3 linked regions of the Ovis aries genome follow. The protein of the gene in region 1 purifies or fractionates together with the protein of each later gene. This does not show direct contact. Links are inferred from orthologs where the notes say so. Each region holds a gene or a part of one and is shown on either strand. Other genes may lie near its edges. The genes, in order: SMARCA1, chromatin remodeling regulator CECR2 and POLE3.

Region 1 (10,814 bases):
ACTCTGAAGGTTAGTTTTCATGATTAAGAAGTTTTTGAAGTCTCTAGAAGAATTTCAACCTCCCATGGGTTAGAGGTAGGGCGTGCTAAGTCTCTTCGGTCATTTCCAACTCTATGCAACGCTATGGGCTGTAGCCTGCTAGGCTCCTCTGTCTGTGGGATTCTCCAGGCAAGAATACTGGAGTAGACTCTCATGCCCTACTCCAGGGGGTCTTCCCAACCCAGGGATCAAATTTCTATCTCTTAATCTCTTGCATCATGCTGCATTCTTTACCACTAGCACCACCTGGGAAGTCCAGGAGTGATAAAGAGATAGGGCACACTCTCCGACATAAATCACAGCAGGATCCTCTATGACCCAGCTCCCAGAGTATTGGAAATAAAAGCAAAAATAAACAAATGGGACCTAATTAAAATTAAAAGCTTTTGCACAACACAGGAAACTATAAGCAAGGTGAAAAGACAGCCTTCAGAATCGGAGAAAATAATAGCAAATGAAGCAACTGACAAAGAATTAATCTCAAAAATATACAAGCAACTCCTACAGCTCAATTCCAGAAAAATAAATGACCCAATCAAAACATGGGCCAAAGAACTAAACAGACATTTCTCTGAAGAAGACATACAGATGGCTAACAAACACGTGAAAAGATGCTCAACATCACTCATTATCAGAGAAATGCAAATCAAAACCACAATGAGGTACCATTACACGCCAGTCAGAATGGCTGCGATCCAAAAGTCTACAAGCAATAAATGCTGGAGAGGGTGTGGAGAAAAGGGAACCCTCTTACACTGTTGGTGGGAATGCAAACTAGTATAGCCACTATGGGGAACGGTGTGGAGATTCCTTAAAAAACTGGAAATAGAATTGCCGTACGACCCAGCAATCCCACTGCTGGGCATACACACCGAGGAAACCAGAACTGAAAGAGACACGTGTGCCCCAATGTTCATCGCAGCACTGTTTATAATAGCCAGGACATGGAAGCAACCTAGATGTCCATCAGCAGATGAACAGATAAGAAAGCTGTGGTACATATATACAATGGAATATTACTCAGCCATGAAAAAGAATACATTTGAATCAGTTCTAATGAGGTGGATGAAACTGGAGCCTATTATACAGAGTGAAGTAAGCCAGAAAGAAAAACACCAATACAGTATACTAACACATATATATGGAATTTAGAAAGATGGTAATGATAATCCTGTATGCGAGACAGCAAAAGAGACACAGATGTATAGAACAGCCTTTTGGACTCTGTGAGAGAGGGCGAGGGTGGGATGATTTGGGAGAATGGCATTGAAACATGTATATTATCATATATGAAACGAATTACCAGTCCAGTTTCGATGCATGAGAGAGGGTGCTTAGGGCTGGTACACTGGAATGACCCAGAGGGATGGGATGGGGAGGGAGGTGGGAGGGGGGTTCAGGATGGGGAACAACACATGTACACCCATGACGGATTCGTGTCAATGTACGGCAAAACCACTACAATACTGTAAAGTAATTAGCTTCCAATTAAAATAAATAAATTCATATTTTAAAAAAAGAAAAAAAAAAAGAGGGCAGTAACCAATTAAATCCACTCTTTCTTGAAAACTCCCACAGACACTTCATGGAGCCCATGGAGTTCATATAGTAAAATCGAAAACCACTGGCATACATGTTGGTGATGGACAGGAAAGCCTGGTGTGCTGCAGTCCATGGGGTCACAAATAGTCAGATACAACTGAGCAACCGAACTGACTGAAGACATAATGAAAACACAGCCCAGATATTTCTCAATATCTATGATCTTCAAGAAGATTACAGCAAAACAAATCAGTAATTTAGAAATACAAAATTTTTATAAGGAATGGTATTACATTTAAATAATAGCAGCAATCAGAAAGAGTTCTAAGTGACTAATTTGCTACTGGGAAATATGAGGCATAGGGAAGAATCAAGCCTGTAATTCTAAATTTATGAGCTCAGTATTTCAATATTTAAATTATTTATAAGTTAAATTTAAATAAATTTAAGTAATTTTTCTTCAAGCAAAATGATAAGAATAAAATTACATAATTCATTATGTTACCACTCTTTTGAGAATATCTTTTGATAACCTATCTAAATATGTAAAATAGAATAAATCTTTACTCCAAACTATGTTCTCTGGAGGCAAATAAAGACCAAGTTTAATAATATGCTTTCTAAGCTGATTATTCATTTTGGTATTTTTGCATAATTCATTATTTTTAGATTAATTCAACAGTCCTAAAATAACTGTAGCCTACTAGATTGACAAATGGTTAATTTAAACAAGAACCCTTAATTTCTAATATTATCTAAGAATGTATGCAGACACCTATTCTTCTATTCAAAGATCAAAACTGAAAGCTGTGTCTATGCATAAACACAAAACACAAGGTTCTCTGTACAAGGAAAAAGGTTCCATTCATGTGTGTCTGCATGTGCATGTGTGCATGTAAACAAGTCAAAGTCAAAAGTAAAAAAATTAAACAAACTGAAATGCAAATTTATACACTTTTGGCATCAAAAGAGCACAAATGATAGAATCACTAAGATAGATGGTCAATAAAATACGATTTTTTAAAACAAAAAGTCACTCAGTGCAACTCAAAAGTGCTTAGATTAATGAGCTAGTTAAAAGTAAATGCAAATAAGCATAATAATGGATTTTCTGTTATGAATAGGTAATACATCTACCTCAGAAGAGTGTTGTGAGAATTAGCTCAATTAATATATGAAAAGCACTTACCTGGTACAGATGAACTTATCTGAAAGCAGAAATTGAGAGAGAAATGTAGAGAACAAACATATGGATACCAAGGAGGGAAGTGGGGGTGGAGTGAGTTGGGATATTGGGATTGACATATATACACCTCTATGTACAAAATAGCTAACTGATGAGAACCTACTATATAGCACAGGGAACTCTACTCAGTGCTGTGTGGTGACCTAAATGGGAAGGAAATTTTAAACAAAGAGAGGGGATATATGTATACATATAACCGATTCACTCTGCTGTACAGCAGAAACACAACACTGTGAAGCAACTATATTCCAATTTTTAAAAAATGTATAAATACATTGACAGAGATAAACACAAAAGTCGATAACAAGAAGTAAATGTGGTATTTTAAAAAAGCACTTACAAAAGAATCTAACACAGAGTAAGCACAACTTAAGTGTTATTCAGTAGCAGTAGTCAACTCAAATGTCTTTTATAGCAACAAAATTTAACCCCAGAAATGTTGTTATTCTTGATTGCCTTTTAAAACCTGTTTCTCACTTACTCTCGCATCCTTGTCTCCAACGAAACAAATAACACGAAGAGATGGGACCCATCGCTTAAACTCGTTCATCCAGTTGTGTAAAGTCGACTTTGGAACTAAAACCATGTGAGGTCCAGGAATGTTTCGGTAATGTTTCAGGTAACCAAGCAAAGCAATCGTTTGTAAAGTCTTACCAAGACCCTGCATTATCATCACAGAGAAAAAAATCCATAATCATGTTTTATTTAATGAAACATTTGTTAGTAGCAACATTACAAAAGATATCTGCCAAGTATCTCACATTGGGAAAAGTTAAAAGAATTTTTTTAAGTGAATAACCATTCCAATTCAATACTTAGGCTGAGCACAAAAAGAAGCCAAGAACTTGCAGTTAGAAAGTTGCTCAACAAAGCATTTTTCTATTTAGACTTTTACTCCTAAAGGAGTGAGCAACCCCTATCATTTTTTCTACTAGTTTGCAAAATTAGGAACTATGTGTATTTCACAAAGACACATTTCCTTTATCAGCCTGCTTGGTGTTAGTGGTGGTGGTTTAGTCACAAAATGTTGGACACGCGTAGCCCTCCAGGCTCCTCTGTCCATGGGATTTCCCAGGCAAGAATACTGGGGTGGGTTGCCATTTCCTTCTCCAGGGGATCTTCCCGACCCAGGGATCAAACCCGCATCTCCTAGGTCTCCTGCACTGCAGGCTAATTCTTTACAGACTAAGCCACCAGGGAAGCCCAGTCAGCCTGCTTAGATACCACTCTTTCTTTCCCATTGCCTTCAACATTATTACAGCCCAGGTTTGAAATATTCAGACTCTGCATCTCAAGAGGTCTATAGCTCTATACTCACATCTCATACCCTTGAAGACCTAAGGAATCATAAAAGAACAAAACAAAAGAACTTTGCAGCCAGAAAGGAACCTAGTCCAGGTGACTTTAAAAAAATAATAATAATATACTGAACACCCATGAACCCACTACGTAACCTACGGGAAAAGGAACTATGTCCTGTGTCACATGACCTTTTAAAACACTTTCTGACTTTGTCTCTAGTCAAGGTATATATTTCTTTTATAAACCTAAGCTAAAAGCTATTTTTATAGGCTTTATCCCGCCTGACATTTCACTTAGATAGATTTTATGGATGCTATGCATTAAAATCTTAAAATGAAAAAAAAACTTAAAATGTTTATACTCCTTAACCAAGTAATTCCACTTCTAGAAATACTATGGAAATAATCTGAGGGGTGCAGAAAACTGAATTACAAGGGTTCTCATAATAGTATTATCAGACATCAAGTAGATACATATATATCAACCAATATATACTATATACATATATTATATATACTATATATATATTATACATCAACCAATCCATACGAAATGAATAAAGTTATGTTATCTCCCTATAATTAATTATTATGCAGTAATTAACAATTATTTTTACCAAAATGTTTTAATTATGTGGAAAATATGTATGAATGTGAAGAAATCAGAATACCAAATCAAATATACAATATGACCTCAAAAATGAAAAATAAATAAAACCAGAGGAAAAAGACTAAAAAGAAATATGCAAACTGTTACGTATTGTTGTTTCTAGGTAATAAAAAAAAAACACTTACTTTAAATTTTTTCCTGATTTTTTCCCAAATTTTCTAGCATCATTAAACTTTCTCCTTTTTAATAATTAAAACATAACTGATATCAGCATAAATTCAACATGAAATATCTTTAGTTAATTCCTGTTTAGACAGGCTGCAGCCAAGAGGAGCTTGGGGCAAATAATCCTAGTCTTTCCGTTGTCCTGGAGAAGGAAATGGCACCCCCCTCAGGTATACTTGCTTGGGAAATCCCATAGACAGAGGAGCCTGGGGGGCTACAATCCATGGGGTTGCAAACAATTAACTAAACTCCTTCCTGCCTGAGCTGACTGCAGTTTTCAAGGACCTGCTACACACCTACCAGTTGCTTAGCCAGGGATGAGTACTTATGGAACCAACCACTACACTACAAGCTATGGAGCATAATTAGTCATGTGGCCCATATGGACAAGTGATTGCAAATATGGCTCCGGAGTCATTTTTGGAGTATCACTGCCCTTTCTTAACCCCTACCATATACATTTGGTCTTAAAATGTCAAGCCAAGTCTTCATATACTCCTCTGACCTGCTGAATTAGCATCTTACATGGCCTTACTTTTTCTCTTTGGTCATTTTTTTTTTTTTTTACACAGTGCGCCCTCAGAATCCACAGGTTTCACATCCAGGTATTCAACCAACCGCAGATCAAAATCCGCAGAGGGCCCAACTGTGCTATGCCATTCTACATGAGGACTTGAGCTTCCACAGATTTTGGTATCCACGGGGAGTCCCTGAACCAATCTCCCCCGTATACGGAGGGATAACTATACCTCCCATCAATCCTCAGCTCATTTCCTGACCCAGCTGGCACTCTACTATCAAGACTCAATACTGCTCTTCACTTTCTTGTTCTTTATTCCATCTATTCACAGTTTGTTTGATCACACACAGAGGCATTTACATTCACTCATGCATGCATTCATTCATTTAGCATTTGGCTTTTAGCCCCACCTCAGTCCCAAAAGGATTTCAGGTAGCCTACAATGAAAACATGGAACATAAATTAATGGTTAAAGAGAAATAAAGAGGGCCAAGGAAAGTAAAAGGTAAAGAATAGGAAAAGGCACAAAGGACACAATGGGCAGACCATTTAAAGTTACACAGATGTTCCATTTTGGCATTCACTATAGCTCTGAGCTCCTTGGAAGCCAAAGTGCAAATATCAACAAAAGTACAAGGAGGTTTTTTTTTTTTTTTAATACCATTTGAGGAAATTTCAATAACAAATTTAGGGGCCTGTAAAAGCATATGTTCCAGAGGTTAAACAATTCTAGACTTTACAAATACCTTGTATGTTACAGCTAAATAAAACATCTAGCCTCCAAACTCTGGGGCGGGTGGGAATTTCAGCTCAGGTATTTCAAATTTACATAAAATTATTGATAAGTGAGAATGTGTTTTTAGCTACCAACTCCTTACCATTTCATCAGCCAAAATACCATTGACTCCATTTTCATACAAAGAGATCAACCAGTTCAGTCCTCGAATCTGATAATCTCTCAGTGGTCCTCCTTTCACATCTGGAAAAAAAAAAATCAAGGCTCACATACTTTCATTAGTACAACCAAGTAAAATTTTTCTAAAACTAAACTGAAAACAAAAAACACCAACATGGTGAGGTACTTACAAGAAGGTGACACTTCAAATCTAACACATACATTAGATGTTTTCCGACTCTCTGAGAGGAGCTCTTCATCTTCTTCTTGTTCTGTGCGCCTGTGACGGTAGCTGAAACAGAAAAAGAAATATCTTCATATTCAATTCAAATGCTAAGTTGTCAATTAAGTCAGTATATTATGTTAATATCTTTTATGAAAAAAAGTTATCTAGAGTCTTGCATAAAAGTTGATAAAACCAGCTGACATTTTTATTGGTTGACTTCTACTGAGAAAAAAAAATATTGTCTCTAAAACATATTTATACAGGCGATAACCTTGTTTTTTAGATATAAAATCACACTAAATACATGAAGGAAGGCAAGTATGAAGGGCAGGAGGAAAGGAGGGAAGAAAGTTAGAGAGATGCCAACATACTCTCCAACAGAAATTAAGCTCTGCTTGTCATCTTTCTTTATTCGAGGGCGTCCCAATTTCATGTTCAGAGGAGATGTTGGAGATTTCTGCGCTGAAGGTTGAATGAAATGTGCAAAAAGCTCTGTCTGCTTCAGTAAAAATTCAAATCTCTTTGCTCGATCTGCTTTCTAATTTACAAGACAAAAGAAAAAGTAATGATTTCCTTTTATGTTCTTTCAAAATTTAACAATACACACATTGCACGTAATTTGTACTACACTCTAAGTACTTTAAACATACTAACTCATTTAATTCTTTTAATAAATCTATGAGGTAGTTACTAGTATTATCCCCATTTTACTGATGATAAAAATAAAACTGAGGCACACAGAGGATAAGTAACTTGCCCAAGCTCCCACAGCTAATAAGGAGAATTTGGAAATGGTATTTTCAGATTGTTTGAATAGAAGCCAAGTGATCTGACAGGCTTAATAAATGCCTCAATAAGTATTCTGCTTAAAGTATTGGGGTCAAAAAGCAAATTCTGAATGGTTTGGAAAGCCAAGAATTGTCATCTAGAAATAATTTAAACTCAGAATACAGTGTCATCTTCTCTCAAAATATTTTCAATGCTTTGGTACAATACATTTCTCTGTTCAAGTATAGTGATCTGCGGAATTGTGGTTTATGTTAAGAGTATATAAAGTTTCTCCCGAAAGTGAGGATTTAGAGAAAAAATACACACAAACACACACATATAAGTGAAACAGTTAATAACATTAGCAATTCAGAAGTGTATGTTATAAATTCTAAACAAATTTTAAAAGGTCATATAGCTTATAAAAATAAATGCAGTAAAATTTTTTCACTAAAAACATCTTAAAAGATCAAAAGACTATCATTCTAGATAAAGAAAAAAAAAAGGTGATTTTTTAATTCCCAGTCACTTTCTAACCACAGGGTAGACAATATTTGATTACCAATGAAGGATGCATAATTAATAACATAAAAATCTTCCAAGAATTCATTACCATAAATACAAGAATTAGACAAATACATTCAGACCAGTAGCTGGAAGGAGGCCAAAATCTTTCCATTTTATGTTATCCTCACTGGAATGTTGTTTCTAGAGTTGTTAAAACATTAACTTGTCCATGTTAGATGTGGCCTTAAGCGTTAAGGCACTGAGTTCTGTAAAATCACTACAAATGACCAAAAAATGTACTTTATCTCTACTTACTTTCAAAAACAACCCCTTGACAAAAAAAAAAAAAATATTCAGTTCCAACTGCCCATTTATTTCTCTTTTCAGTTAACCAAGTTCACTGGTTTTGAAAGATCCCAAGGCATGAAAGTCCAGTTAAAATTAAAGCTAAAATATGGGTTTTGGTGAGTAAAACTTAAATAATGAAATGTACAGCAAAGCACTAGGTAGGTGTATCTAAGGTTATATTGCTTAAATGTGTAATATTTTCATACACTGGGCAAATAGCCTTCCCTCAAAAACATATATTACATGTTTCATAATATGAAGCATTCATTCACATATCCAGAGCAAAGAGAGAGAGAGGAAAAGAAATACCAGGCTGGTTTTGTGACCTGCTTTCTCTCAGCCATACTGATATTGCCACTTATATTTTCACTTTGTGGATAAAATATTTCTAGCGTAAAATATCCTATTATGGGGTAAAGAGGGCTAAACAAAAATGAAGAGATGTGGCTTCTGGTCTCAACTATTCCGTATCATTTCTCCAATACTCTATTTCCTCATCTGAAAATTAGGAGATTCATTTATCCAACAAAAATCTATTATGATGGATTCTATATTACTTTTCAATTCTAAAGCCTATGATTCTGTATTCATCATATACAGACATGTATTTTTTAATTTTTCACATCTCCTCTATAAAAATCAACTACTGTATTCACTCTTCTACCCAAGAACATATTTACCATTTTCTCTTCATATTCTGGATCCATTTCCTTTTCAGATTTAGAAGCTTTAACAGCAAGTTTGAGTTGAAATGGAGAAACGTTTTTCTAGAATTTCAAAGAAAATAAATCATCAAATTGCAAAGCAAGGTCAGCATTCTCATTTGAAGAAAATAAAAAGTAATTAAATACTAAATAAATAAATCCACATGGGCCATGCATGGACCAATGATGAGAGCATGTCATGAACAGGGCTTATGATTAATCCAGTTCTGTGCACCTGAGGTCCAATTAAAAAAAAATCCAAAGAATCGTAAAGCCAGAGAAATAATACTAATTAAAAACCAAAAGGTGGGAAATGAGCCTTTGCACCTATTGTGTAAAGTGAAAGAAGTGCATAACCACTCAAGAGGACATTCAAAATCTAGGATATTTTCAACCATAAACCAAAGAATTCAAGGAAAGTAAATATTAATTCCAGAGGTACTTCTTTATGTAATGGAAACAAGCCAAACTTTCATGAGAAAAGACTGTGGTTTCTGCTCCTGAAAAGATGTAATTTTTAAATATTGTTTTTATATCTTAAATAGAACATTAAAACTTTTATGTACTGCAGTGTGATCATTTATATTTGAAACAATGAAATAGTAGTTTCAAACTTCTGGTTTATGTTAATTTTCTCCAACTGGACAGAAAACCTTTTAAAAGTATATATATGAATATCTTGTAAAGCAGTTTCTCATGGCTATTAACCTTTGATATTTAAAACACTGTAACTTAGTGAATAGCAACATAAATCAGCTACTTTAAAATACTGAAATTATCTAGGGGGTTATGTCATGTCACTCTATCCTTTTTAAAGACAAGCTTGTACTTATAAACAGATATGTAGAATATACCTCCATCCCTGTAAGAAATCAAGAAATAAAATAATACAAATATAAATCTACCCATTAGTACCAAAGTGGAGGCCATTCAAGTTTTAACACAGTCTGCAAAGTCAAAATACAAATCCGTGAAAACTGAAGAAATTATGTCCATTTGAGCATTGCTTTTTTTTTTTTTTTTCAGGAACAGCATGTTCCTGAAAGCTTGGGTCATAAATCAATAGAAGGATGTGATCTTAAACAAGAAAAATCTGGCTCCGATAGTTAATAAATGTTTTCCAACATTTATTAAAATTTCTATTTTGAGGAACTCCAAACTAAGATTATGGAATTTGACCCTGATCAGGGTTCTCCTTTGGAGCACTGATTAGATACTGTCCAGTTATTCTTAGCCCAAATAACAGCCGTCTTGATTTACAGCATCTCATATGTATATATGTGGGATGTTTTGAATGTAATTCTGGATGGATGAGAATAGAAACTACTAAAATGCCCTCAATACCACACTTTCAAACTGTCACATATGCTAGAAACTCTCTTTTATTTTCAAAGCAAAAAGTAAAAAAAGAAAATCCTTTATCATTCCTTGAAAAGCTAAATGAAATCTACAAGTTTCAAAAATTAACCTCTCCTCAAATACACAAGTATATATCTAATAATGCGGAATGCAAATTTCACTTACAGAAAACTAAAGCTTTAATATTAGAAAAACACTTGTTACGTTTTTCCTTACCTTGTAGTAGAATATCATAAAATTTTAATTCTATGATAATTAAAATTCCTAATTGTGAGCATTGCCATTTAAAGCAGTAGGCAATTACTTAATTGGCACTATCTTTCACAACAAATTTTAAAATACCTACCTTCAAAACCTTCCCATTTTTGTATGTGTATGTTTTTACAAATATACCTCTCATCCCAGAAAATATAAAAGGTAACTAAGATATTCTAATGAATTCCTTATGGGTTTTCTCATCTGGTAGTCTAGATGCTATAAGAATGCAGCACAAGGTCACCAAGATGTCCTGTTTAAAGACCATG
Region 2 (11,255 bases), on another chromosome or scaffold:
ATCTGCCTAAGACCGCAGCACCAGGTAGTGACAGACGTGGGTCCACAGTCCAGGTTTCTGGCTCTCTGCATGATTCCTTTGACAAGTACCTTCAATCCCATCAGCTATATCTAAGGCCATCTAGTTAGAAACTGTGCCTTCTGTCCCCCTGGACTCTGTCCACACCCACTTTTTATCTAAACCACCGTGCGCACTGGCAGTTTCCCAGCAATGCCAGAGCTCCTCATTCTTACCCCCAACCCACCACACCACAAGAAGCCAGCCCCTAAAAAAAAAACAAAACTGGAATTCAACCCTCAGCCTCTCCCGATCAAAGGGCAGACAGTCGGTTGAACCAAATGCTTCCATGTTGCCAAGTCGTATTTTGGGCTTCCTCACTGTGTTCCAGAAAATTAAGCAAGACCGAACTGAACTTCCATGGTAAAGCAAGCCACATAAGTTGTCCTTCAGAGATGAGAGAATACTGCCCTTTCCACAACTGGAGAATCTCTAACTACCCTTTTAAGCTTCTCGAACAGGCAAATGAAGATGAAGACAACAACTTCCCCTTTAAGACCCTGGTATAAGCAGAATGGGATCTAGGGTTCACCTTGGAGGGAGTTACACTCTGAGGGAGCAGTCCCCCCTTTCAGGTTTCAAGATCTGTTATTCACATCCTGTTCTTGGGCTTTCCTCCTCAGAGAAGGAGCATATCCTGAGTCTTCAGGAGACACTGATCATCTGATATTTTCCGTTCAATAGTTCATTGTAACTAACTACTAATTTTTGCACCATGCAGCATGTGGGTTCTCTGACCAGGAATCTACCTGACACCCTGCAGTGAAGCGCAGGGACCACTGGACCGCTAGGGAAGTCCCACAAACTACTAGTTCTTAAATAATTTTAAGTCCCCTATTTCCTTCAGTCCTGCTCAAATGCCATCTTCTCAATGAGGCCACCCACACCTTTGCAATCCCATGCACTGTAGCCTACCAGACTCCTCTCTGTCCATGAGATCTCCCAGGCAAGAGTACTGGAGTGGGGTGCCATTGCCTTCTCCAAGGGATCTTCCCGACCATTTCAGGGGATCAAACTCAAGTCTCCTGCACTGCAGGTAGATATTCCTTACTGTCTGAGCCACCAGAGAAACCCCTCCCACACCTAATCACCTTATTTTAAATTGTAACAACCCACCGCCCCAACTTGGCCCTCTCTGTGCCAATTTATTATCATCTGTCTCCTTCCACTAAAGGAGGGGTGTTTGTGTTATATTCACACCTGTATCTCCAGCACTTCATATACTGCATCTAGCACACAGTAGATGCTAAGCATTTGCTGAAAGAACCAAATGAAATCATTTGTCCCTCTGCATTCGGCAGAATACGGGTCCTTTAAGATCTGTATTTTAAGATCCTTTAAAAGGATCTTTTGTACCCCACGTTTTTAAGAGCCCAAGAGCTCTAGATCTGCACTGTGAGATCTTGGCCACTCCTAGGCCCAGCCTTTCGCTTTATACATAATGAAAACTAAAGTGGAAGCTGTGTGACACAGCAGCACCAGCAAAGAGGCTGAGATCCAGGGGAGAGTCTGTGCAAGAAACCCAGCCTGTCTAAACTTCCAGTTTCCTCATCTGCAAAACTGCTAATTCCCAGTAATGATTAATGATGACGATGGATAAAATGAGAAAACATTTGGGAAATGTACAAAGTGCTATACAAGTGTCCTTCACCGTTAGGCTACTTGACCTGCCGAAGGTCACAGAGGCAGTAGTAGCAAAACAAGCATAAGAATTCAAGTTTTCTAACTCGGATCCAGGGCATCTCATGTCATGAAACTAGCCTCTGGTTCCCCTATTCAAAGCCAACTTAAATCTTTCATCTAGTTCAAGGCCTTCTAACTTTGGATGGTTGGAGTTGCTTTCAAAATTTGGTGAAAGTGACAGGAAAGTACATGCATGTACACCAATACAAAATCTCCCGTAACCCGTCCTTGGGCCCCGGGCCCAGAGAACGAAGGCTGATGTGCCAATAAGTTTCTCTCAGCACGTTTTTCTATCACTTATTTTCATAATTATGAATAATATTTATGAATAAACATAATAATGCTCTGTAATTCATGCCTAAGGATTCAACCCAAAGGATTCGTTCTCAAAGCAGAAAGCTCGGGGAAAAAAAAGTACACGGGACTTTTAGTAATAAAAATCAGATTATTTTGATCATGTTGCCATTGTATGAACCAGGTAATTCTACATGACCATTTTCAAATAATCACACAGAGGCCCCATGGTTTCTTCTCTGGAGAAAATATACCCAAAATGTTTATAATGGAATTTCTCCCTGCAACCCTATATCCATCACAATTAACTCCAGACAAGACCACTGAAGATGGTCTATCCTCCCTTAACCGCAGTCTAGTTAAGTATGATGCTATTCACTGTAAAGAGCACTTGTTAGGGGAAAAAAGAAAACCAGTACTAAATCTTCAGGAAGGTCAATTCACCATTCTTCATTCTCTAATCAGGACAAAACATAGCCAGCTTAGTCCACTGGAATGTTAAACAATCATAGAAAACTTGATATAAGTGAAGTGGTCCCGAATTTGATAATCCTGAGGCAAAGGAGTGTGCCATGAGCTTCTTTGGTAATCCATCCAGTTAAGCAGCTAGTAACAGATGTTTCATAATACCAACCACTGAATTCAGTATCATTAACCTACAGTTGTCCAGCTACACACAGCTCAGTCTCCTCATCTGGAAAATTAAAACGGGCCACAAATACGCTGTGAACGTGTTTGGGAATTTCTAAGTAACAGTTTTTATCCCTGAGTGGTGAGATTATGGGTGATTTAATTCTCTTACCTATATTTTGCTATAATTTTCAAGTTTTATATTGTGATTATGCACTGCTTTTTAAAACCACAAATTTTGAACTTAAAATATGTCTTCACATTTGCAGATTTTTGATCTGATGACTGCAGAACCCCTATCTGAGGGGCAGCAATACAGATGTCCCTAAACACAACCCAAAACACAAGAATCTAGTATACTCACTCTTCTAATTAAATCCTGCACACTCAAGGCTAATTACCAGAGGAAAAAGGTTTTCTTACATGCAAAAATAAAAATATCCATGCTTTGGGGACCAGTTAAATGGAAGGTCTTGACCTCTTACAGAATTGCACCATGAATGCTCCTAACCTGTCAGCTATCTAAGAGATTGCCTTGTTTTAGATAAACAGAAGCCAAGTCCTTGAAGATTCTGCTTCCTAAATTTTCTTAAATCCATGGGTTCAGTTTGGTTGTCAAGGGTAAGATGAGTACTTTCCCACAGCTGAAAACTAGTTTCCTAAAAAAGCTGATATCCAACTTCTACCACTTGGTATTATTCATTTCTATCTTTTAAACTTACATTAAATTAAGATTATAGGGTCCTTCCAGTCGTCCTAACAGGTACAACTCAGTATTAGTACTGTTTTTTGTTTGTCTGTTTTTAAGATTCTTCCAGTGCATCATAAACTGTAATCAAGTGATCCTTCTTCAACCTTTCAGAATGGTAAATTATTAGATTAAAAACAAACAAAAAAATCACCTAACCAAAATAAATTTATTTCTTAGAGAATCAAAACTGATCATGTTCTCAGTAAGTTCTGCACTCTCAGAATCAAATTTGCTAGAAACCTAAAACTTACTTTGAAATTTTAAATTTCTGATAATTAGTGAAAACTTAAACCTGTATTCATCAAATTCATCAAAACATATTCATGTGAAAAAGATTACAGAAGAATTGCAGGAGTAAGTCATTATTACTTAGCCATCGACTGAACATCTCCAAATTATAGAGGTATGGATGACCACCATAATACGTACAAGCTGAATTCCAAATATTCATTCGTATATACTTCAAACAGCATACACGTTAACTACAACCACCAAAAAGTGTCACTTCCAAGAAATACTGGGATCCGAAGCGAAAACACTCATCTCAAGTGGCCCTGATTTCACCTGTAGCAACGATTTTTCACTTCTGTTATACATACAAATTGGACCTCTCAGATCAGGTTACATTTCCTTTTGGAATTAAAGCAGCTAATACTTAGAAACCACAGATTTATTTCTTAGAACATAAGCCGTTATTTATAAATTACTCTAGATTTCTGTAACAATTTAGGACAAAATTAGTTACCTCTTGTTTTTTTTTTTCCCAATCAACCAAATCGGAATATTTGGATTTTTGAAAGATGAAGTTTTCTCCACAGTGTTTTTAGACGGGGCTCGTGAACTCTAACCTGTAATTCAGCACCGCCTCAGTTTTATCACATTTCAGGGAGAAAATGGGGCAGGGGCAAGTTTAGCGGCACCACGACGGCATTGTCACCACAACACCTCCCACCGCAGCCACCATTTTGAGCAGCAGAATTAAAGTGCTGAGGATTTTGACCAACTAAAAGGAAACACGGGGTCTTCGGGACAGTTGTGGAGCAAGTCCTGACGCTCAGCATTCCCTAATCTGCCGTTTCTCCCCCTCAGTCCGCGGGAACCGCCGTCCCACTCACATTTTTAGAAAAAGCCGTGCTCGTCCGAGTCACGTCCCAACTTTGAGAACGGCGTGCGGCGCCGGGCCCCCGCACCCGAGGCTGCCGCATTGTCGTCGCCGCCGCCGCCGCCCGCCCGCCCGGCGGCCCGCACCCTCCCGGCTGCCGCCGGGCGCGCCCCCCGCGGGCGGCGGACCCACGGCCCCCGCTCGCCGGCCCGGCCGCGCCGGCCTCGCACCTTTGTCCGGGGCCGCGGCACCGACCGGCCGCGCGCTCGGCCCCAGGCGGCCGGGGGAGGGGTCGGGGCGCCGGCCGGGGGCGCCCGCCCGCCAGCCCGCCGGGCCCCACAAAGCCCGCCGCCCGCTACGCGGACCGCCCGGCCCCGCGCTGCGCCCGCCGGGACGCCGCCCGGAGTAACGGCCCAACTTTCCCCGCCGCCCGGGTCCCCGCCGCCCGGACCCCGACCCCCGCCCGCCCACCCGGGCCGGCCGGGAGCGCTCCTCGCGCTCAGCCCCCCGCTCAGTCCCTCGCAGCCAGCCGCTCGGAGGTCCCCGCGCGCCGCCGCCCCGACCCCCCACCCGGGTCCCGAACCCCCGGCCCGGCCCGGCCCGCGCACCTCGATCTCGAAGTCCGGCAGGCGGAACGCCGTGCGGAAGAGCGAGCAGAAGTGCGCGATGGCCGGCACTTCCCACCACGAGCGCAGCTCGCCCAGCCCGGCCGCGCCGCCCTCCTCGGGGCGCATCTCCGGCCGCGCCGCCGCCTCCGCGCCCGCCGCCCGCCCGCTCCCGGAGCCGCTCCGGCCGAGCTACCGCGGCGGCTGCCCCGGGCCCATCGCGCCGCGGCCCGGCCGCCCAGCCCGCACAATGTCGCCGCGGCTCGCGGGGAACAGATGGGCCGGGGGCGGGCGGGGGCGGGGCCTCGGCACAACAACAACCCCGCCCCCGCCCCCGCCCGCCGCCCGCGGGCCGCGCTCGGGCGGGGGAGGGGCGCCCGAGGGCCGGGGGGCGGGGCTGCCGTCGAGCACCGCCCCCCAGCCCCGCCGGGCCCCGCCCCCACGTGGCCGGGGGTCGCGCCCCTCTGAGGCCGGCGGGCTGCGCCTCGCTGGGCTGCGCCCACGTGGGTCCCGGGCGGCGGACCCCACACCCAGGCAGAGCCCGCGGCCTCCCGTCCCTCCCCGGCCGGGGGAGACCTCCCCTTCGCCGTCCGCGGTGCGCGGGGTGCTGCGTGGGGGTGGGGGTGGTTCCCCCTGGCCCGGGGGCCGCCTGCGCTCCGGTCCTGTCCGGTCCCGGGCGCAGCTGCTCGGGGATCCGCGTGGGGACCTCTGAGCGCGGACGCCCGCCGGACTGGCCGGCGTAGTGGCCGCACTCAGCTGGGATGTTATGGAGTGCGGCTCCGGTTTATTCCCTCCCTCGTTTTATTCCCATCAATTTAGTAACCTGGTTTTTTTCTTTATAAGCCAGCATTTAAAAAAAAAAAATCTTAAAGAACATGTGTATTTAACTAGATCTTTACTGGAAGAAAATACTTCATCCAACACTGCACACTACCCTGCCGCTCGCCCCCTGCCCCAAACTTAGGTAGTTGTGCTCGCCTATTACCTCAGCTACTGAATGCTTTAGAATTCACCCGCAGATGCTACCACGTGTCCATCTTTGAAAAAAATGAGCGCCTATCTGAACGCCCCCAGGAGCAGAGGCTGCACTTGAGTGTGTAACGCGCAGCTCCAAGGCAGATGCCCGATGACCAGGTGAGGTGTGGGAAGGATGACACGCACCGTGGGGTGACCCACCTGACCTGAATTCGCACTCTCTTCTGGGGACTCTCTAACCCCTGTCTGTCTGCATTTCCGCACGGATCAGCCTGGCTTTCCGCACCTTTCCTTCTCTCTTGTGTAAGGCTTCCTGCTTCCCTTCACATTTGTTTCTAATCCATTACATCCTGCCTTTCTGCTTCCTCTCCTTTTCCCGGTTCTCCTCTGGCTCCTCATCCTGCCCTTTACCCTTTTCCATCTTACCTGTCCCTTGGTGATCTGGGCCCCAGCCTGGTAGTCACAGAGCCTAAAAAGTCACATACCAGCAAGCAGAAAGGTGACAAGTTTGGGTTACTCTGGCCTGTTTGAATGAGCGCTGCCCTCCCCACACACTGCCCGGTCCTGAATCCAGCCACGCTACCCTGGGGTGTGGGGGGCGGGGGCAGGGCTGGTGGTGGCTGAGGGGGTCACCCCTCGTTGGTGCTGGTCCCGCCCCATCCTCAGCACGCTTGCCCCCAGGCTGCCTTCTTCATCTGAGGGTCACCACTCGGTGTCCCATTGGACAGGCACACAGCTTCAACCCTCTTTCTTTCTCTCTCCTCTCTGGCTCTGATCGGCTGTGACTCTCCCCCCAACCCCTCCCCCCCCACCAGAGCAGGTCTTCCTCCTCCAGCCCAGAGGTTTTCTGTGTCTCCTCGGGTTCCTCAAGTTCTGGCTCTGTCTGGAGGGTCACATTTGTACCCACCCCTTCCTCTGCCTCTGTTGGAGTTGATACCCACGATCCTTGACTGTTTGTTCCACCTTTCCCCTGGGATTTAACTGCCTCAAATCTGTTTTTTGGGCTGGCTTCGCCCTAGCCTCCTGAGACCTGGATCACTGACCCTGGTACCTCCCAGGACACCCACCTCCTTCCTTCTTCCCAGGACTCTCAGCGCTGCCTGCCCCTGCCTTTTTAAGGGTGGCCCATTTCTCACCCTACAAACACCAGTTGTTTCTTATCCTGTTCCCAAAAGGCATACAGCTCTCATACTTTCTCTGTCTCTCTCTTTTGCCCTCTCTGCCTCTTTTCTGTTTGTGAGCACTGTTGATCTGAGATGACCTTGGAAGTGCCAAAAGAAATTCTCTTCCAGATTTCCTACCACCTCCACTTCCATACCATCTGCTAATTAAATATCTTCCATTAAAAACACACACACAATACTTAGTTTGACTAACCTGTTTCGCTTGTTAATTGATGTGGCAAAAAATATTTGAATTTCTTTTTGCAAAATCTGCAGTAATCTCAGCTGTTTCGGGATTACTCTAGGTTCCTGGAGGATAATCTGGGGAACCAACCAGCATTTTCTAACTGCATTTCTTTGAGAAATACATTGCAAATTCTGTATGATCAGCTAAAAATAATTACTTGAACCTCGGAAGGCAGGTGACAAAAGTGTGGTTCTTCCAGGTTTCTTCCTGCTAACCAGGACTAGAATTCAAATCTTCTAACTGATCATCCAGTCAGATTACACTGCTTCTCACTTCTCCAGTTGCCCTTTCTGTCCCTTTGCCGGCCCACCCTGACGTGGTTGCTCCTTGACTCAGTCCAGGAGCCCAGCTGGAGCTGTAGTGAGGCAGAACCATTATCCTATCACCTTAGTTGTCTCCACGTCTGAGTCCAGGTCCATCATGAAGTATTGGCACACCCCTCCTTTCTCAGTAGAGAGCTACCTTCCATAGGGTACTATTCCCACAGAGGACTATAAGTCAGGCTAATTTTAACATTTTAGAGATTGTGGAAAGTGAGTTATATTATAGTCAGGAAAGTTGGCTGTCTCTTAGAAAAGGCTTAATCTCTTGCATGTGTATTGCATCTGTGAGGAGGGGCTTAACTAATGGTTCCTGAACCCTATAGCTTTCACCTTTAGAGTACAACCAGCTTTAAAATGTAAATTCAATCATGTCATTCACCTGCTCCAAATTCTATGACTCTCCCTTGAGCATGAAAGTCCATTGAGTCTTTTTTTTTTTCCATTGAATCTTAAATTCAAGCCAGAGTTTGGCTCCCACCTGCCTTCCCAGCCTCACCTGCGATCCCCACCCCCACCTCATCCAACCAGTGACTCCTTCCCTCCTGTCAAACTGGTTCACTCACTGCAGTAATCTCAGCTGTTTCGGGATTACTCTAGGTTCCTGGAGGATAATCTGGGGAACCAACCAGCATTTTCTAACTGCATTTCTTTGAGAAATACATTGCAAATTCTGTATGATCAGCTAAAAATAATTACTTGAACCTCGGAAGGCAGGTGACAAAAGTGTGGTTCTTCCAGGTTTCTTCCTGCTAACCAGGACTAGAATTCAAATCTTCTAACTGATCATCCAGTCAGATTACACTGCTTCTCACTTCTCCAGTTGCCCTTTCTGTCCCTTTGCCGGCCCACCCTGACGTGGTTGCTCCTTGACTCAGTCCAGGAGCCCAGCTGGAGCTGTAGTGAGGCAGAACCATTATCCTATCACCTTAGTTGTCTCCACGTCTGAGTCCAGGTCCATCATGAAGTATTGGCACACCCCTCCTTTCTCAGTAGAGAGCTACCTTCCATAGGGTACTATTCCCACAGAGGACTATAAGTCAGGCTAATTTTAACATTTTAGAGATTGTGGAAAGTGAGTTATATTATAGTCAGGAAAGTTGGCTGTCTCTTAGAAAAGGCTTAATCTCTTGCATGTGTATTGCATCTGTGAGGAGGGGCTTAACTAATGGTTCCTGAACCCTATAGCTTTCACCTTTAGAGTACAACCAGCTTTAAAATGTAAATTCAATCATGTCATTCACCTGCTCCAAATTCTATGACTCTCCCTTGAGCATGAAAGTCCATTGAGTCTTTTTTTTTTTCCATTGAATCTTAAATTCAAGCCAGAGTTTGGCTCCCACCTGCCTTCCCAGCCTCACCTGCGATCCCCACCCCCACCTCATCCAACCAGTGACTCCTTCCCTCCTGTCAAACTGGTTCACTCACCCCCGGATCTTCTTGCTCCTCCCTTTTGATCCTGCCCTTTCAATTGCTTACAAAGACAGCTCAACTTCTCAGATCACTCAAACTCACCTCCTTCCTAAAGCTTTCCTGAAACACCCCTTCTTAGGGGTATTTGTCCAGGTCCTCTGACTGGAGAAACTGCAGTGTATATGACTCACTAGTCAACCACTTCCTTGGGTCATCATTCTATTATTTATTTTGAAGTGCTACTTAAATCTTTCACTGTAGTTGGGGGTGTCTTTTCTTCTCATCCAGATTAGACTTGATTATGTAGGGCGGGGGGAATCCTTCCTAATACACAGAAATTAAATGATTAGTTAATGGTAACATAAAACCATAAAAAAAAAATTAGAACGTCTTAAAATGCCTGATGTTGATTTACTTACCTTTCCTTCATTCCTTCCTCTGCCTTTTAGCTTTCTCCCTCCTGGAACTCGTTCAGGCAGTCTCAAAGGTCATGCCTTTCTCAATACAGTCATATCTTCAGGGGATTGATTGACTCCAGGACCCCCAGGATAACAAAAGTCACTGGAGTCCCTTTTATAAAGTGGCATAGAGTGGTCAGCCCATATCCGCAGTTACCCGCATGCATGGAGTCAACCAACGAAGGATGGATCCATCTTCAGCTTGGCTTTTCTCCTGAGCCCCAGGGTCATTTCCCCCAAATGCCAGTTGGATGTTGAAACTCACCATGTTAAAAGGAAGGTGGAAAACTAGCTCTGGGTTTTTTCTTTGCGAGTCACATACCTTACTGACTTTGTATCTCCTTTAATGGAACAATCATAGTCCCAGACCACCAGGTTCACCCTCAACTCTCTGCTTCTGTCCTGGCTAGTTATAACCACAGTTGTGTGGGTTCTGCCTCCATGAAGTCTCTAGTATTCCCCCTGTCTCCACCCCAAATGAGGTCCTTTCATCTCTCTAGTTGAGAAGCTTCCTAACTGGTTTTCTTTCTTCTGGTTTATCTCCTCTGTCTCTCCAGTGTGGCTGGATTAATCTTCTTAGAAGTGTTCGTCAGTTCTGAGAAGGTAAATTTAATGTGTTCTTAAACCCAGTATATCCACCAGATTATTATTTCAACATGTGTTATCAGTATTAAAAATATCCATGCATTTTTCTTCATGGCAGTTCTTTGGAATCTGGTGTGCATTTTACAGTTAACCGCAGGCATCTCTGTTAGGACCCACCATCTCAGTGCTGCATGGGGCACTCGTGGGTGGTAGGTGCTGTGTTGGGCAGACAGGTCTGCAGGTACCCACATGCCCAGGACTCACCCTGAGCACTCTGACCCTCTGGACCCCGATCTGGACCCATCCACATCCTCCTGCCTACACCCTCCTCCAGGCAGGCCTCCCTGAACACTCTAGCCTAGTGCTAAATCTTGCAAATGACCTCTTTAATTTATGTTTGGTTTTACCAAGAAAATCCCAGCTCTTTCCTCAGGAATAGCTCTTGGACTGTTCTCCTTGGAGCAGGCTACAAATAACTGGTCTATATGAGTGCTGATGAAACAAATTATTTTATATTACTAATACCTTCACAGAAAACACTAGTTACTCTTTGAACATAGTATTTTACAATGTAGAAAATTTTTAAATTGAGATATAGTTGGTGTGCAATATTGTATATGTTGCAGGTGTACAGCATCGTGGCTCACAATTTTTATGTTGACAGTTACTATAAAATAGTGGCTCTGTTCCCCCTCCTGTACAATATATCCCCATAGCTTATTTATAACATATTTTTAACCATGAAGAACATTGGGGAATTCCCTGACAGTCCAGAGGTTAGGACCCTGCACTTTCACTGCCAGGGACCCAGGTTCAGTCCCTGGTCAGGGAATTAAGATCCTACAAGCTGCAAGTCGCAGCCAAAAACAAAACAGAAAGAGAGGAGAAAGTTGGTGATCAAAGTTTGTAGATTTTTTTTAAAATAATTTTATTTATGTTTCGCTGTGCTGGGCCTTTCTTGCTGCACGGGCT
Region 3 (9,790 bases), on another chromosome or scaffold:
AACACTGTGCTGGAAGAAACACAAGCTGAAATCAAGATTGCCGGGAGAAATATCAATAACTTCAGATATGCAAATGACACCACCCTAATGGCAGAAAGTGAAGAGGAGCTAAAAGCCTCTTGATGAAAGTAAAAGAGGAGAGCAAAAAAGTTGGCTGAAAGCTCAACATTCAGAAAATGAAGATCATGGCATCCAGTCCCATCCCTTCATGGGAAATAGATGGGGAAACAGTAGAAACAATGTCAGACTTTATTTTGGGGGGCTGCAAAATCACTGTGGATGGTGATTGCAGCCATGAAATTAAAAGATGCTTACTCCTTGGAAGAAAAGTTATGATCAACCTAGATAATATATTCAAAAGCAGAGATATTACTTTGCTGACTAAGGTCCATCTAGTCAAGGCTATGGTTTTTCCTGTGGTCATGTATGGATGTGAGAGTCGGACTGTGGAGAAGGCTGAGCACTGAAGAACTGATGCTTTTGAACTGTGCTGTTGGAGAAGACTTTTGAGAGTCCCTTGGACTGCAAGGAGATCCAACCAGTCCATTCTGAAGGAGATCAACCCTGGGATTTCTTTGGAAGGAATGATGCTAAAGCTGAAGCTTCAGTACTTTGGCCACCTCATGAGAAGAGTTGACTCATTCGAAAAGACTCTGATGATGGGAGGGATTGGGGGCAGGCAGAGAAGGGGACAACCGAGGATGAGATGGCTGGATGGCATCACAGACTCGATGGATGTGAGTCTGAGTGAACTCCTTGAGTTGGTGATGGACAGGGAGGCCTGGCATGCTGCAATTCATGGGGTTGCAAAGAGTCGGACATGATTGAGCGACTGAACTGAACTGAACTGAACTGAACTAAAACATAATTGCCATATACATAAACTCATATCAATGGACATGAGTCTGAGCATGCTCCAGGAGAAGGTGAAGGACAGGAAAGCCTGGCATGCTGCAGTCCATGGGGTGACAAAGAGTCGGACACCATTAAGAAGCTGAACAACAACAATATATGTAAAGTAACAGTCTTTACTAAGCATCATCTCTACTGAAGAACTTAACTTCTGGTCTTTCTTAGATGATATTAATGATATTTGAGGGTATTCAGAACTAATCACATGTTCAAACTGACCTCCTCTTAGGATGAGTGAAAGTGAAAGTGAAGTCGCTCAGTCGTGTCCGACTCTTTGCCACCCCGTCGACTGTAGCCCACCAGTCTCCTCTGTCCATGGAATTCTCCAGGGAAGAATACTGGAATGGGTTGCCATTTCCTTCTCCAGGGGATCTTCCCGACCCAGGGATCAAACCCAGGTCTCCCACATTGCAGGCAGACGCTTTAACCTCTGAGCCACCAGGGAAGCCCTAGGATAAGGAACTTTCAATAAGAAAGATGTGACACATTCAGAAAGAAGCTATTCAGATAACTCAATATAAAATCAATAGGAGATAAATCGTTCTATATGTTTACATATTTCCTTCTAGCCTAAAGAGTCAATAAATTTCACAGAAAACCTGGAACTTGAACTTAGAATAAACTGACAAAGAAAACGATGGAGAAATGATCATCCATGGATGGTCTACTCCAAAAGTCAGCAGGCATAAATGTGGTGGAAACACCTTCAAATGGATCTTTCAACTCTTGACAAGTCTTTCTCTGAAAAATGTAAATAACAGATAAAGACATTTCCAATTGCATGTGTGGATATTTAACAAGTCTCCAATACAGGTTCAAGGACTTTGTCTTATAGCTGCTCTTTTCTCTCCCAGGAACTAATTATCTGCTTTGATGGAAAGGATTTTTCTTAGAAGTAGGTATTCCAAAGAGACATGCTTGAGAAACACTCATTCTTGAGTGAGGAGTTGTATTCCCTGCACTTGCAGCTAAAATAGGTGAATCCTCTTCATACAAGCCTGGTTTATCTAAGAAGGACAAATGTCATGTGAATGACAAGGAGAGCAGTATTCCAGCCTTGGGACCTGCGATGTAGTTAATTTGTGCACTCATGTCAGAGAGAGAACTTTCTTATTATCAGTATCAAAGTTCCTGGAAATCTAGCACTGATTTCTTGAGAGGTGGAGCAGTGAGGCCATTTGAAAGTATTTGAATACAAACTTGTTTTTCACAATCATTATATATATAGAGAGAGAGAAACTCTGAAAAGTTTCCAGTAAGTTATGTCTGGAAAAGTTGTGACAGTCATTATGGAATACTAAGTGACATTACCAAAGAAGGCAATAGCACCCCACTCCAGTACTCTTGCCTGGAAAATCCCATGGACTGAGAAGCCTGGTAGGCTGAAGTCCATGGGGTCACGAAGATTTGGTCACAACTGAAGTGACTTAGGAGCAAGTGACATTACACACGTGCATAGATACATAAAACACAAGAAATTAGTTCTGATTTCAAAGTAAATTATTTGACATCTCTGTCCCTTGGTACCATTTTGGTCCTTCTAGGAAGTATATAGTGATAAACTATGGAGGTTTTACTTTGCTTTCTTGATAACTACTGAAGCTGATAATTTTTAATGTTATATTACAGGCAATTTCTATACCTTTTTCCAGAAGTTTCTTTTTTTTTTTTTAAGACCTCTGTGCAATTTGAAATAGGAGTTCTGGGTTTCTCATCACTAAATTATAGGTTTTATATATATATATATATATATATATATATATATATATATATATATATTCTAGATATAGTTCTTCTTTCATATATATGCATCATATATATAATGAATTTACATATATAATTTTACACATAAACTTATATATAATGTAAAATTTTGTACATGTGAATGTAGATACAACTTTTTCCTACTCTGTGAATTGCCTTTTTATGTATTTTTTTAACAATAATGTTTTTTATTATACAAAGAGCACCAAATGGAAATAGAAGAACACCTGGAAAGGTCAACAGAGATACTTAGAAGCAGTTAAAGGGGATGGGTTAGGGGAGGAAGTAAATTCCTGAGCACCATCAGATTTCCCTCATGGGTCAAAGAGGTTTACAAAATCACTTTTAAGACATGAGATTAGAACTAGGGAATCAGAGGAACCTATACTCTGTGATATTGCAGGTCATCCAAGTTCCTGGGTTGGCAGAAGTGAAAAAAAGAGGGACAGAGAAAGTGGGAATGGGGAGCAGAGGAGAGGCAGGACAGAGACAGGTGGTGAGAAGCACAGAGGGAGAAAGCTGTGCCTAGTAGAAATAAAGTTCGGAACTTGTCATGAATTGGAAAACGAAAAGCCATAGTCACAAATCTGGAAGATGGACTACGGGACACGAAAACCTGGAATTTTATACCTTCCAGGAGATGATGACAAATCCTGAAGCTGTACAGTGGCAGGCAGTGAGGTGCATTTAAAACTAAACCATCTGTTTTATAAGAGTAAGACATTGGCAACCTTGCTTAACTAATTCTGCTCTGTGGATTTGAAAACAATGTGCCTAGAAGGTAGCCTCCCAAGCAGGTTACACGCCTACAGGCAATATAGAAGGGCTCTAAGCCAAGTGGGTCTATAGAAAACAAAATTAAATTAATGTTACTGTCAAATGAAGAAACAGCAGATTTTATTGTTCTCTTCAACCTTTTTAGTAGTTTCCTAAAGCTAAGCCATTCTTATCACTTGAAATAAGCTAGTATTGCCAAATATTGTATAATCAAATAGGTTGACTGTGATCAAACCTCAATTTTTCCTGAGCCTGAACTGCCTCTGTGATTTGGGACACAGTTAGCAGCATGGAAGTTATTATTACTTTTCTGGGGGGCAGGGAGGGAACTGGGGGGGGTCAACAATTGCCTAACTATATGTGTATGTAAACAAAAGAGATCAAACTGACCAATTAAATTTGCTATTCAGAATCCCTCTTGCCAAAAGTTATAACCTTGAGACTGATTAAGCAAACCAGGATTCTGCTACTCAGATGCTCCGAGTCTGGTAAGCACTGGCTTTGAAGATAATCCTGATGATTAATTCAGTTTTTATTTCAATCTCATCAGGCTCTTCTGCCTAAGACTACTCTGCCCAGCCGGAACAAGCTTCACACAAACGTGTACCAAGTTTTCTCGTGGTTCTTTCCAAGGGGCGTCTCCCCATCCTCCTCAGTTGTCCACTTCCTCCTCTTTATTCTGTTCTTCTTCCTCCAGCCTTTCCTCATCTTCATCATTGTCCTCATCCCTGCTCTTGTCCTGCTCTTCCGAATCTGTTTTTTTGTCTTTGTCCTTCTTCTTTTGCTCTGAAGCTTCATTCTTGCCTTTCTGCTCCCTCTTATAAGCTTCCAGAGCTTCTTTTAATGGGGTAACGAACCGCTGAAACTCCGTCTCCTCCATGGCTGACAGCACATCGCTGGCATTCAGTGTCTTGCGTTTCCCTTTCATTGCAAAGTTGTTGGCACAGGATGTGGCGTACAGCACGAAGACGCTGGTGGCGTGGGAGATGGCGCTCCGGGCCTCCTTGGAGATGCTGACACCGTCCGGGAGCGCCTCCTTGATGATTCTGGTGATGACGGCATTGGGCAGGTTTAGGTCCTCGGGCCTCTCCGCCATGGTCGCGGCCGGGGACCATGCCTGCGACCTCCTCTTCAGGCCGCCACGGCGTCTGGACTTCCCGCGTCGCCACAGTCTGACCCAGCGAGGCTTCCGTCCCACCCTTTTTATTTTTAAAATGTATAATCTCTAATGATCAGAAGATTTAAAATATTAACAATGTTCAATTTTTTAGTTTCTTTATGGTTCTTGATTGTAATTTTTTCACAGAATTTTTATAAGTTTAGCTTTGACCTCTTGATCTATGACTCATTTAGAGCTAATTTTCATCTACCGCATTAGGTAGTGGTTGAGGTTCCTTTTTTTCATATACGGATATCTAATTGATGTGGTATAATTTGTTGAAAAATATATTATTTCTGCTTCAATTACTTTGATATCTTTGTAAAACTTTTCATCTATTTAAGTATATTCCTGGACTTTCTTTTTTTTTTGGTATTTTTAAATTTTTTTTTAATTTTAAAATCTTTATGATGTTTCAGTGATTTTTATGTTTATTCTTATATCAATACCTTACAACCTTCCTTTCGTTCATTTAGTTGTTTTTATATTTTTATTTTATATTAAAATACAATTGATTAGCAATAATGTGTTAGTTGCATGTATGCAGCAAAGTGATTCAGTTATACCCATACAAGCATCCTTTGTCTTTTAAATTATTTTTCCATTTAGATTATTACAGAATATTAACCAGAGATCCCTGTGCTCTACAGTAGGTTCTTGATTATCTATTTTAAATATAGCAGCATATACATGTCAATCCCAAACTCACAGTCTATTCCTCCCCTCCCTGCTTTTTCCCCTGGTTATCATAATTGTGTTTTCTAAGTCTCTGAGTGTTCCTGTTTTATAAATAAGTATATTTGTATCTTTTATTTTAAGATTCTTACATATAAGCCATATCATATGATATTTGTCTTACTTACTTCACTTAGTATAATAATCTCAGATCAAACCTTGTTGCTGTAATTGGTATATTTCATTCTTTTTAATTGCTGGGTAATATTCCATTGTGTGTATATATATATATATATATATACTGTATTTTGTTTCTCCATTCATCTGTTGACATTTAAGTTGCTTCCAAGTCTTGGCTATTGTAAACAGCACTGTGATGAACATCAGGGTGCATGTAACCTTTTGAAGCATGGTTTTTTCCTAGTATGTATCCAGAATCCATATGCTGGTTCACTTAGTAGGTATATTGAGTTTTTTAAGAAACCTCTATATTGTTCTCTTTAGCTATCATATCATTTTACATTCACACCAGCAATGTAGGAGAATTCCCATTTCCCCATACCCTCTCCAACATTTGTCATTTGTAGACATTTTTAATGATGGCCATTCTGAATTTGCATTTCTCTAATACTTAGTAATATTGAGCATCTTTAATATGAGTCGTTCATTTGTATGTTGTCTTTGAAGTATCTAAAACAGAACTATTTTCCTTCACTAAAACTGATTTGTGTGCTACCTATTGTTCCCATTACTTCTTTGGAATTTCTAGAAACCACCAGAAATACTTTTTCCTGATTCTAATTTGTCCTTTTCAAGAAAGGAAATTCATAATTCATATATATGTACATAAATAATTCTTTCTCAAATAGAAATAACTTCTGACTTAGCATATTCAATGTATTAATATTTTGAAATTCACTAACATCAACTGTCTACACTCTATCTCCAACCCCACATAAATCTATTTAATTTGTAATATATATACTATATTTATAATAGTCCACCATTATTTTCTCAATATCATGATTGGCATGATTCAAGAGAAACCTTAATACTGTCCCCAGATCAGCAGAAGTCATATTAGGAGCACAATGTGCATGTGGATTAAGTCACTTCCGTCATGTGAGGAGCACAGTGTAGGTTTTATTAAAAATGCTAAACTGAGAAGAAACTTAACAATTAAAACCTTCTTAATATTGAAAAAAACTGACAGAATTTTAATTCCATCTGAGAAGGAAGGGTCTGGTTAAACATATGGTAACAATTTGGATTGAACAATAAATAATTGAAAGAAAAAATGCTAGATTATATACTGTCTCTTACTACATGAAGCTTCTGCAGTTGTGTGCATCGAATAGATATGATGAAAGAGAAGCTTTTAATAAAAGGTTGAGGAAACAAAAAAGTTACTAAGTTGTGTATATAAGAATATAGGGCAAGGTTACATCGGAGCAAAACAGTAGACAGCAAGGTGAAGAAGGGCAGGGAACACATTAGATGAAAACCTCAGAGAAATTAATGCCAGGCAAGTGAGAGATATAAAGACACAGCATTTAAGCTACTGGGCTTTAAAGCCTGCTTATACCTAGTGTCCTTTCCTCCTCTACATAAGATTGACTCAACACTAACAAGTATATGTGTGCACACTGCTGTTCAATCTTAAGGGCAGTGGCACACCCTAAGATAGAAATATACTAACTTCACAATGAGACGAGAATGGTCTCTATGGACTTTTTCTAGGTCAGTTCAAACACTGAATAAATCTTGAAATTTCTATTCATATTTTGTCAACTTCTTACTCCATAACATCCTCATGGCATTTTTCACTTCTGCATTCCTCAGGGTATAAATCAGAGGGTTGAACAAAGGTGTCCCAACTTTATAAAACACAGCTATCATCTTATCCATGGAGAAGGTGGTTGCAGGGCAAGTGTATATAAATATGCAAGGACCAAAGAACAAGATGACCACAATAATGTGGGAGATGCAGGTCGAGAGGGCTTTTTTCCTCCCTTCAGCACTGTGGTTTCTCAGAGAATGCAAGATGATAGCACAGGATAAAGCATGACAAAACTCACTGTACAGATGGCCCTGTTGTTGGACACCAAGAGTAGGTTGGTCACATAGGTGTCTGTACAGGCAAGTTTCAACAAAGGCTGCAAGTCACAGAAGTAGTGATTAATTACATTGGGACCACAGAAAGGCAGACTTAAGGCTAGAAGAATCTGAGCTGATGAATGCACACAGGAACCCAACCAGGCCAAGGACATTAGCACACCACAGACTCAATGACGCATGATGGTCGTGTAGTGCAGACGCTTACAGATGGCCACATAGTGGCCATGAGGACAAGGATGAAGATCTCTAGGCAGCCAAAGAAATGGAATGTAAAGACTTGGATCATGCACTCACTGAAAGAGATAGTGGTCTTCTTCAGCATCAGCAATCATTCTGGGAGCTATGGAAGTAGAGAAGCAGGCGTCAGATAAGGAGAAGTAGAAAAGGAAGAGTACATTGGACTCCCAAGTGCCCGACTGGTCTTGACAGTAACAATAATCAGCAGGTTATCCAGCAATGTCCCCAAGTAGAGAATCAAGAAAATGACAAACACTATTTTCTTCCTAACAGGATCTTGTGTCAATCCAAGCAGAACAAACTCAGTCACATTATTTTTCAGCTGCATGATTTCATGACTGAGGAGAAGAAATGAGTGCAAAATGATCAATCTGGAAAAAATAAGGAAATAATTCATAGGATGTTACATGATGTTATGAAATATTACTTTGGGGGACCATTGTATCTGTGATTTCTTGATAACTCATGTTAACACTTTGTGGGATAATTTTTAATGACCACTGCAAAGGTTTACTGTGAGTTTCAAATAACCTTCTGAAAGTAATAATTTCCTATAAGATTTTCTTTTAGAAAGCTTGCTAAGTTTGATATCATTATTGATTAAATTTTCCAATTTGTTGAATGTATAGTTAAGAGATATGTCTTTGTTCTTTCTTTCATTTGTTTGTCATATTCAAAAACTTTATGGCACATGTTTTTCATGCTATATCACTTGGGATTTAGGATATACGTGACTGCCTTTGGAGGTTTATGATATAAAGTCATACTATACCTTTAACTCTGTTAAAACCATTATACATAAACACTTATGTATCACATAACTGCTATACATAGAGATATATAATCATATATATGTGTATATATATATATATACACATATATATTTAATATGTTCCAACTCTTCCTTGGACTCTTATTCCAATTATTGCAGCTTGAGCAATGGAACAGGAAATATACCCTTTAAATAATCTGCTGTTATCATCTTGGATGTGAAGTTCTGTATTAAACAAATACTAACGATCAGAAATAAATGTTATTTCGTATGCCATTATCTCAAATATCCCAGTTTATCTTTTTTTCCAACTTCTAAAAATACCATTTAGAATACTCAGAATTCCTGAAGTTATGGTACTAAATGAAGGATGGTGGGTTATTACTCAAAAGTTAGTATTTCTCTCTTAAGCATCTTAGACCTGGAGTAATTTTGGGAGATGGTTGTGTGTCATCAGGTGGGTGGTATAGGATCCAATCATGGTTTTATTCCTAGGAGAGTTTGTATTGTTCAAGTATCTGAAAATCCGCAAGTCTCAGAAAAAAATCAAAGAAGGAGAAGGCAGAAGATGTACTTTTAAAAAGAAGTAATGCTGATTTTCAATAGATATAGTCTTCACTTCTATTCTTCAAATGGATGTTACAAATTTTAAATGACTATATTTGTTAAAAATAAACAGATAATCTCTTGATGTGGGGGCTAGGAGAGAAGAGCTAAAAGCAAAGCAGGCAGGCAAAGCTGAAAAATAGATAAGGGTGAAACATTATCTATTTAGCATTAGGCAGAATCTTCTGTGCTTAAAGAGTTGTCTTATGGCAGAAGCCACAGGGAGAAGCATTACTTAAATAAAGGAGGCTCTTTGTCCACTTCCCCCTGACTCAGTTGCCCTAGATGTCCATCTTTAGAGGAAATTCTACACTCACTTTATTTCTTTGCAGAACTTGCCATTCTTTGTGGAAAGTTTAACAGATTGTCCGAAGACTATTTATCACTCAGTAGTCCAAGTAAAAGAGTATATAATCTACCATCATTGAGCTCCTCACTCTGTCCCCATGATTTCTGATTATCTGACCCACAGACGCCTTAGAAAACAGCCTGCCTGCAAGTCAAAAAGTGGCCCCCAAAGTGCTCATTATTCATGCTTTATGTATATATATATATATACATATATATATATATATATCTGTTTGCCATATTTATCAATAAATTAATATTTATTTTCTGTTCAAATCTTTTTAGATGTAGAACTGGTGCCTGGTGGAGGGGTAAGGGTAAATGAGACCAAATGTGGAAGAACACTGACAGGTACAAATATTGATGAAAAGGAAATATTTCTACCCAGTATTTCTCAGGAATGCTCATCCCAAATAAATGAC

Evidence for each region.
Region 2: the proteins of SMARCA1 (region 1) and chromatin remodeling regulator CECR2 purify together in Homo sapiens (affinity purification with mass spectrometry; 3 studies listed by BioGRID and IntAct, with this or other methods). This does not show direct contact. The link is inferred for Ovis aries from reciprocal best matches to the Homo sapiens genes SMARCA1 and CECR2.
Region 3: the proteins of SMARCA1 (region 1) and POLE3 purify together in Homo sapiens (affinity purification with mass spectrometry; 3 studies listed by BioGRID and IntAct, with this or other methods). This does not show direct contact. The link is inferred for Ovis aries from reciprocal best matches to the Homo sapiens genes SMARCA1 and POLE3.

Annotation. Positions count from the first base shown.
Region 1 is NC_056080.1:113,455,354-113,466,167, forward strand, and holds part of SMARCA1 (probable global transcription activator SNF2L1), read right to left. Parts: intron 9,179-10,814; exon of another isoform or gene 9,108-9,178; intron 8,995-9,107; coding exon 8,908-8,994; intron 7,143-8,907; coding exon 6,976-7,142; intron 6,671-6,975; coding exon 6,570-6,670; intron 6,463-6,569; coding exon 6,362-6,462; intron 3,489-6,361; coding exon 3,309-3,488; intron 1-3,308.
Region 2 is NC_056056.1:214,766,144-214,777,398, reverse strand, and holds the start of chromatin remodeling regulator CECR2, read right to left. Parts: upstream 5,372-11,255; 5' UTR 5,252-5,371; coding exon 5,126-5,251; intron 1-5,125. UniProt on the Homo sapiens protein: Regulatory subunit of the ATP-dependent CERF-1 and CERF-5 ISWI chromatin remodeling complexes, which form ordered nucleosome arrays on chromatin and facilitate access to DNA during DNA-templated processes such as DNA replication, transcription, and repair.
Region 3 is NC_056057.1:706,931-716,720, reverse strand, and holds POLE3 (DNA polymerase epsilon subunit 3), read right to left. Parts: upstream 4,650-9,790; 5' UTR 4,550-4,649; coding exon 4,106-4,549; 3' UTR 3,990-4,105; downstream 1-3,989. UniProt on the Homo sapiens protein: Accessory component of the DNA polymerase epsilon complex. Participates in DNA repair and in chromosomal DNA replication.